Canis lupus familiaris: one gene and its partner. The protein of the gene in region 2 purifies or fractionates together with the protein of the main gene of each other region. This does not show direct contact. Links are inferred from orthologs where the notes say so. Each region holds a gene or a part of one and is shown on either strand. Other genes may lie near its edges. The genes, in order: CSTF2T and CSTF3.

What was found.
Region 1: the proteins of CSTF3 (region 2) and CSTF2T purify together in Homo sapiens (co-immunoprecipitation; 4 studies listed by BioGRID and IntAct, counting the BioPlex papers as one, with this or other methods). This does not show direct contact. The link is inferred for Canis lupus familiaris from reciprocal best matches to the Homo sapiens genes CSTF3 and CSTF2T.

Annotation. Positions count from the first base shown.
Region 1 is NC_049247.1:36,527,088-36,531,494, reverse strand, and holds CSTF2T (cleavage stimulation factor subunit 2 tau variant), read right to left. Parts: upstream 2,965-4,407; 5' UTR 2,894-2,964; coding exon 995-2,893; 3' UTR 538-994; downstream 1-537. UniProt on the Homo sapiens protein: May play a significant role in AAUAAA-independent mRNA polyadenylation in germ cells. Directly involved in the binding to pre-mRNAs.
Region 2 is NC_049239.1:34,890,962-34,895,330, reverse strand, and holds the start of CSTF3 (cleavage stimulation factor subunit 3), read right to left. Parts: upstream 2,824-4,369; 5' UTR 2,628-2,823; coding exon 2,601-2,627; intron 1-2,600. UniProt on the Homo sapiens protein: One of the multiple factors required for polyadenylation and 3'-end cleavage of mammalian pre-mRNAs.

The DNA of each region.
Region 1 (4,407 bases), on a different chromosome or scaffold from region 2:
TTTCCTGCATCAAGGCCTCTGCGACTCGTGGGGTCCAACGCGGGGCACAACTCGCCCCGGTAAACTGGCCCCTAGACGCGCCTGTTTACAAAGGATGTGAGGCAGCTACTTAGATTCACATCAGGACTTAAGGATTACTGAGACGCAGGAAGGTACTGAGAGAGCGGCCTTCGGGACCCTGGCCCGTCCTAGGGCCGTCCCAGCAGAACCGTCAGGCTCAAGGCCAGGCCGGAATACTGCTGCTCTCTGGACGGCGGGATACACGCAACGTCACACCACATGCACTCCTGGATTTTTCAGGTAGCACAGCTTTAAAAACAAACAAACAAAAAACAAAAAAACAAACTAAAAAAAAAAAACAAAAATAAAAACAAAACCCACCATCCAGTTCTAATACCACAAGTTGAGACTTAACCTGTTAGCACCAACATTTTTAAATAATTCCACTAAAACGATGCTTAACCTAATACAACCATCTCCTGTCCCCAAAATAGCATTTGCTATTTCAAACGGCTTACCAAAAAAAAATGTATCTGATAACTTTGAGGTAAACGTCTTTATTTTCTTACACAACCAAAAATCGTAAACTGTTTTAGCACGTTACCATTTTAACAGGTCAATAGTTTAGTCCTTATGTGCAGTTTTCACATTGTTTTACTCGGTATTCAAAAAATGTAGTTTAACATATTGTAGACACTCTCAGTATTGCTGCGTTCTTTGTCATCTTACTCCGTGTAGTATAACCACGTTCAGAGTTATTCTTGTGTATATACAGTGAGTAAAAGTGAACAGACCCAATCCTGCCTCCCCCTGCGCCCCCCCCCCCCCCGCTCCCATTAAAAAGGAAAACAAAAGGAAAATAAAAAGACAAGATGAAATCAGGAAGGGAAACCCTAATCACTGGAGCGTGGGGATGCAGACGTTGGCTTTCTGCATCCACCCTCCATGCTACAGGAAAACTCGGAGACCACTGCCGGTTATCTCCCGACACCGCTCAAGAAGCCCCAGTAGACTTCTGAATCTGTTCCTTTAAGATCAGGATGCTCTGCCTCTGCTCGGGGGGCAGCATGGCAATCTGATCTGCAGTCAGCTGAAGAACCTGCATGATCAGAGCTGCCTTTTCCTGATCCTGTGGAGTTACCTGGCTCTGCCCAGGACTGAAACTGCTAGGCTGGCCTCCACCTTGCTTGCCTGCCCCCTGCATGCCCACTGCTTGCATGCCTGCCCCCTGCATGCCTCCTCCTTGCATGCCTGCCCCCTGTATGCCCCCTCCTTGCATGCCTGCCCCCTGCATGCCTCCTCCTTGCATGCCTGCCCCCTGCATGCCCCCTCCTTGCATGCCTGCTCCCTGCATGCCCCCTCCTTGCATGCCTGCCCCCTGCATGCCCCCTCCTTGCATGCCCGCCCCCTGCATGCCAGCTCCAGGATTTCCCACCCCTGAAATGCCCGACACCTGTCTGGGCCCCTGAGGACCACCCGCCCCCATGTTAATGGGCCCGGGCCCCTGGATTCCCCCAGTCATTGGGCCTCTGGAACCGGGGCCGGGGCCGGGGCCCCGCATCTCCATCCCTCTCGCGTCCATGCCTCTGGCTTCCATCGCACAGGTCTCCATCCCTCTTCTCTCCAGCACTCTGGTCTCTAGGACTTCCGTCTCCATCCCTCGAGAATCTCTGCTCCCTCTGCCATCCATGGGGAGCCCCCTCTGATCCATCATGGGCCCCCGGGGCTCTCCCATCAGCAGTCTGGGGTCGGCGAGGGGCCCGCCCCGCAGGTCGTGCGAGTCTCTGGCGTGGCCGGACGCGTGGTGCAGGGGCGGGCCCAGGTAGCCTCGGGGCTCCACCTCCCCGGTGACCGAGAGCAGGGTCCCCCCGCGGGGGTCGTTCGGGGCGTCCCCCAGCAGCCCCCGAGGAGGGAGGCCCCCCGCGGCCATGGGCCCCCGCGGCAGGGGCGCCCTGGGGTCGGCCATCTGCACCTGGCCGCGCTCCAGGGGCCCCACGCCGGGCATCCCCACCTGCGGCTGCATGCCGCCCGCGGCGGGGAGCGCGGCGGGCCCGGGGCCCGGCCCCGCGGCGGGCAGGGGGCCCGGCGCCGGCATGCCGGCCTGGATCGGGGTCTGCATCAGCGGGGGGATGTCCTTCACGGGCCTCCGCGCCAGGTGCGGCGGCTGCGGGGCGGCGGGGCTCTGCTGGGCCAGCAGGACGGCCGGGGCGGCGGGGCCGGGGCCGGGGCCGGGGCCGGGGCCGAGACCGGGGCCGGGGCCGGGGCCGGGGCCGGGCTGCGCCTTGCCGGGCAGCAGCGGCGTCACGTGGACCTTGCGGTGCAGGATCCTGAGCGCCAGGTCGGGGTCCATGATGCGCATGACCACCTGCGCCTGCAGCAGCGCGTAGGCCAGCTGCGGGTTCTGCAGCAGCATGCTGCGCGCTTCCTGGTGGCTGTTCTGCACGCACAGCTTCATCTGCTTCATGAGCTCGAACATCTGCTCGGGCGGCAGGCTGGCCACGGCGCGCGTGATGGACTCGGGCGCGTCCTCGGGGTCGATGGGGTCGCCGTAGGGCGAGTCCACGACGGGCGCGGCGGGGCCCAGGCTCTTGAGCTCCTCCTTGTTCTTCTCGCTCGCGGCGTTGTCCACGCGCAGCGCGCGGCCGCTGAACTCGCGCCCGTTGAGGTTGCGCATCGCGCTCAGCGCCGTCTCCTGGTCCTGGTACTCGCAGAAGCCGTAGCCCTTGGGCTTGCCCGTCTCGCGGTCGTACACCAGCCGGAAGCTCACCACCGAGCCCACCTCCGAGAAGATGTCCTTCAGCTGCTCCTCCGTCGCCTCGTACGGGATGTTCCCCACGAACACGGAGCGCAGCGACCGGTCCATGGCCGGGTCCCGCACCGCCAGGCTCGACATGGCTCCCGGCGGCCCGGCGCGGCGCGGCGCGGCGGTGGCCGGCGCTCGTCCTCCTCCTCGGCGGCCTCGCTTCCGCCGAGCAGCGGAAGCCGACGGCCGGCGTCCGCCCGGAAACCGCCGAGGCGCGGCCCGATCGTTCCGCCCGCCCCCGCGAGTGCGTCCGCCGGTGCGCTCCGACGCGCGCCTTTCGCGAGGAGGCTTCCCACCGCGAGCCGCCGCGGCCGCCCGGAACGGCCCCCGGGGGGGCTGACCGCAGTAAAGATGGCCGCAGCGGCTTCGCCGTGGGCGCCGGGAGCGGACGTCGCCGCGACGTCACGGCGCTCTGGAGGCCGTTTGCCCCGCGGGAGACCGCCCACCGACCGGGGCTTCCCCGCTCCCTCCCCGGGCGTGCGCTCGGTTTGCTGCGGGGCGGACCCCGGCCGCGCCCGCCTCTGGTCGGCCCAGGTCGCGGGCACCCAGTGTGGGCGTCCCACGGGGCCGGGCTTTGCTCCCGCACGCGCGGCGGCTCGCTCTGCAGGACGGGGCTCCCCGACCCGACGGGGCTCCCCGACCCGGGGCTCCCAGAGCTGACGCTGCTCCCCGACCCGGTGCTCCCCGACCTGACGCTGCTCCCCGACCCGGGGTTCCCTGGGCTGACGCTGCTCCCCGACCCTGGCTCCCCAACCTGACGCTGCTCCCCGACCTGACGCTGCTCCCTGACCCGGGGTTCCCTGGGCTGATGCTGCTCCCCGACTTGGTGCTCCCCGAGCTGACGCTGCTCCCCGACCCGACGGGGCTCCCAGACCCGGGGCTCCCAGAGCTGACGCTGCTCCCCGACCCGGGCTCCCCGACCTGACGCTGCTCCCCGACCCCGGGCTCCCCGACCTGACGCTGCTCCCCCGACCCGGTGCTCCCCGACCTGACGCTGCTCCCCGACCCGGGGCTCCCCGACCTGACGCTGCTCCCCCGACCAGGGCTCCCTGGGCTGACGCTGCTCCCCGACCTGACGCTGCTCCCCCGACCCGGGCTCCCCGACCTGACGTTGCTCCCAGACCTGGGGCTCCCAGACCTGACGGTGCCTCCCAACTCGATGGCTCCCCGACCTGATGCTGCTCCCTGACCCGGGGTTCCCTGGGCCGACGGTGCTCCCCAGCTCCGTGCTCCCCTAGCTGGTGATGCTTTCTCACTCGGTGCTCCCTGAGCTGACGCTGCTCCCCGACCCCGGGCTCCCCGACCTGACGCTGCTCCCCGACCCGGGGCTCCCCGACCTGACGCTGCTCCCCGACCCGGGGTTCCCTGGGCTGACGCTGCTCCCCGACCCTGGCTCCCCAACCTGACGCTGCTCCCCGACCTGACGCTGCTCCCTGACCCGGGGTTCCCTGGGCTGATGCTGCTCCCCGACTTGGTGCTCCCCGAGCTGACGCTGCTCCCCGACCCGACGGGGCTCCCAGACCCGGGGCTCCCAGAGCTGACGCTGCTCCCCGACCCGGGCTCCCCGACCTGACGCTGCTCCCCGACCCCGGGCTCCCCGACCT
Region 2 (4,369 bases):
ATGTTTGAAAATAAATAATTTTTTAAAAGGAGAAAAGAGGGATCCCTGGGTGGCTCAGCGGTTTAGCGCTGCCGTCAGCTCAGGGGGTGATCCTGGAGTCCCCGGATCAAGCTCCCTGCAGGGAGCCTTTTCCCTCCCTCTGCCTGTGTCTCTGCCTCTCTCGCTCCGTGTCTCTCATGAATAAATAAAATCTTTACAAAAAGAATATTGGAAAAAAAAGGAGAAAGGAAAAAAATTCTTTACAGAAAAACATGAGCGAGTCAGTAAAGACAGAATAGAATTTTTAACATCACCATTTGCCACCTCCAAAGTAATAAGTGATTCAATTGACACATAACTAGTTTTAAAAAGCTACTGAGGAATACAAAGTCAATCCACAGATTACTAACTGCAGAGAAAATAATCCTTCACAATGAAGAAACCCAGCAATCATCTCCCTGCCCAAATAATCGAACTTAACCACCATTAATAGTGGAACAACCTAGCATGAAGTGCCTTTCCATGTAACATTATACCATTCTACCCAAAAATATTTAACTCAAATATTATCAAAGCTCTCAGTTTAGACCTAACCAACCACAAAGTTTTCAGGAAATAACAAAAGATGAAGGGACGAGTTAAATGATACCACATACACAAAAATCAAATCAACCCAGAAAATAAGTTTTATTAGAAAATTGTCTTGGATTCTGCAGACAAGTCCCTGGGAAAAGGGGGGGAAGGAGAACTATTCAAGAGACAAAACTAATGGGGCATGTAAACCCAGATTAGATTCTGATAAGAGAAAAGAAAAAGAGAGAGAAAAACCCTATGAATCATATTCTTGGGACAACTAGGGAAATGTGAACAGGAACCAGGCTTTAGAAATGATAGGTTAAACTATTAATTTTTTTAGGTGAGAAAATGGTATGGTTATATAACTGCATCAATGTCCTTAAGTAAAAGAATGATGAAATATAAGGGCCTGAAATATGTCTCGACTTACTTTCAAATAAATATGCAAGCAGAGATAAAACAAGTTTGGAAAAACAGTTAACAGTTATTGATTATAGGTTAAGAACTGTATTGCAGGCATTCATCTCACTTTTAACTTTTCTCACGTACTAAGTTTCCTTTGCACGGTAAAACTTTTAATTTCTTTTTTTCATGTAAATTTTCACCACCATCCCCTTTCATTCAAAACAAGAGAGTTCGGAAATATTCAAAGTCATGACATTTCATTTCAGTGTCCTTATAATTTAAGAAAAATTTTGGAACTAACAAAAAGTTCTGGAAACTTTCAATGAAACCTTAGGACGTTACTCCTCAAGTTTCAAGTGACAAAATTAGGTATACATCTCAGAATAACCATAGGTATACATAAGCAGATGTGATATTATGGTTTTGAGACTGGAGATTTTGCTTTCCTGGGCATCGAGACAACCATGTAAAATGTTAACAAGGTTTCAGTCAACGAGCAAACACAAAATTCAATTTAGCAAGCTCTCCCGACGTGACATTTACAGTCCCCAGACTACTCAAGAGGAACTGCAACTTTGGCCTCTGTCAACCTCCAAGAACAGCCTCTACCTTCTAAGCTGGGGACTTAAAAAACAAAAACCTAAGTGTAGTTCGTTACCGTGGCAACAGGGAATTTCAGGAAATTGAGACTCTGCAGGCTAGCGGGCCTCCATTTTAAAAAACTATTTACCTAAACATTCCAGGACTTAAATCGAAAAGCAAACTGACTGACATCTTTCATGAAGTAGCAGTTTCCTCCTTCAAACTAAGAGGCAAAAATACTACTCTACAAAATTCTGAATAAAGAGCCAAACACCCTCAATCGTTTCGCTAAGTACCTGAATTTTAAAAATGCTTGTAGATCATTTACGTCCAGTACTAAAGGAGACGTTTTTATTTGAAGGGGCAAAAAAAAAAAAAAAAAAAAGGACCTCTCGTTTTCCGATTTATCAAATGCTGCAACATTTGGATCGCTTGAAAAACGAAAATGAAAATGCGGACAGGGGGAGAGGGAAAAAAAAAAAAAGAAGGTATCAGGAGAAAGCTACACAATCCCCAAATCTCAGCATTAACCACGCTTTTTTTTTTTTTTCCTACACTGCTTCCGGCTTCATTCGCTCTGGCGAAGAGACCATTTCTCCAGACGAGTTTCACCTCACGTTATTTCGCAAAACTGGTCACCTCTCTGGGGGCATATCGGAAGGGGGGGGGGCGGGGGCAGAGGAAACACCGTCAAGTTTTTTTCGAAAACAGAGGCCACACGTTCAAAGTAATCGATCCTCAACCACCCTAATGCCAAAACAAAAATGGTTATTAAAGGAAGGAATCCCCCAGGAGTAGTCCCATAAACCTAAACAGGACGAAGCAGCTTCCTATTGTCTAAAGCAAGTGTTCGCGTTAACGCCTCAGAGAAGCCAAAACAAGAATTTCACGTCTCCGTCAGCTCTCGCTCCCCGGTTCCCACCATTTCCGCTGAACCCCGTCCTCCGGGTTCCTCAGACCCCAATTCCCTCCTCAGGCGAACATGGCTGGAGCACCCGGACCGACACAGACGTGGAGAGAAGAGGTCGCCACGAGGCCCCACCACTCTCTTTCCTCACCTGCTCCGGGGCTCCGTCTCCTGACATGGCCTCAGCTGACTAGAAAGGGAGAGCTGGCCCGCGATGCGAAGCTAGAAAAGAAAAATTAAACTAAAAACCACCCCAAACCAGTAAAGTTACCCCCGGCCCGGCGGAGCCAGACAGCCAACGCGAATCGCCACCGCCCACTCAGATATGAATTAAAATGGCTGCGCCCCTGCCGGACGAGGAGAGGGGTGTGGCTTCGGCATTAACTTCCGGGGCGATGGGCGGAGCTAAGGTCCCGACGCGCCGGTTTGCTCGGCCGCGCGGATGCGGGGAGGAACGCCGAGGTGGGCGTAGGGTCTGCGCTGACGTCACGACGCCGGGCTCCCGGCGCTGTTGCTGAGCTGGCTGCAACCGGCTGGGAGGCGGGAAACTGTTTACCCTGCAGGCTCGCGCGCCTTTTGGAACTTAATTACCACGCTGTGGAACCTGGGTTTTTTCACTGTTGAAGCCTGACTGCCAATCAGTGTAGTTCAGGGCCAACTGGCCATCTTAGGGAGCGATGCTAAGTTTAGAAGCCTTCTATATTTTGTTTTGTTTTGTTTTGTTTTGTTGTTTTTGTTTTTGTTTTTTGCCTTCTATATTTTGAACGTAAGAGACATATCGAGGTTTTCCTACCATCTGAACTAATGCTTTCTGTGCTTGTTAGGGATGCTCTCATCCATCTTACACGGTCACTATCTCCTATTTTGTCTAAAGTTTGTTGTTGTTTTTTTTTATGGATTCATTCATCTTTATTTCAAAGTTTAAAGCACTGTTTATTATAAGAAACTTCACTACTCGATGTGTATATTTGCACACATGCAAATATCCAAACATATGTGCAATTGTCTAAAGTTTTGACGTCAGTAAGGCCCCGGGAATTAAGCTCAGCATCTTACGGTGATTCCTCGTATGCAAAGTGGAGATAATAGCGCTCAGGCCCCGCAGCCAGACTCCCATTCCTTCAAACCCTGGCTTCCTCTCTCATTGGATTGGTAACCTTGGGCAACTTGTGCCTCAGTTTCCTTGCCTATAGATACGAGTAACAACAGTAGTATCTGCAATTTAAATAAGGTGGACACGTGAAAGTGCTCAGAGCTGCTCTGGCCATAGCCCAAGATTAGGGGAGAACAGGTCTCTTCTCAAACTAATTTCCAATTAAAGATCATCCTGGGGGGATCCCTGGGTGGCGCAGAGGTTTGGCGCCTGCCTTTGGCCCAGGGCGTGATCCTGGAGACCTGGGGTCGAGTCCTGCATCGGGCTCCCTGCATGGGGCCTGCTTCTCCCTCTGCCTGTGTCTCTGCCTCTCTCTCTCTCTCTCTCTCTCTGTCTATAAATAAATAAAATCTTAAAAAAAAAAAAAAAAAAGATCATCCTACGCTGTCCCCTCTCCTCCTCCTCGCTGATGGAGGCCCACGTATCCAAAAGTAAACTTCGGCTTTCACCACGCACGCCTTATTCTTCTCGTCTCTCCGTGCCTCTGCTCCTATTTCCACACCACCCTTTCCACAGCCTGAATTCTTACCCTTCCAAGTAATCAGACGCTTGAACGAAAGATGTTTATTAACACAAAGATGTCAATGTTTATTGCACCATCCGACATGGAGGCCTCGTTAAGTAGGTTACGAAACATCTCTACAATGGAATGTCGTGAGGCCAGGAAACATGTTAATGTTCAATGACAGATATCCACGATATTGTTAGCTGAAAAAGAATACAAAAATAGTGCACATTATACTGGAGATGTGTATACACACACACAT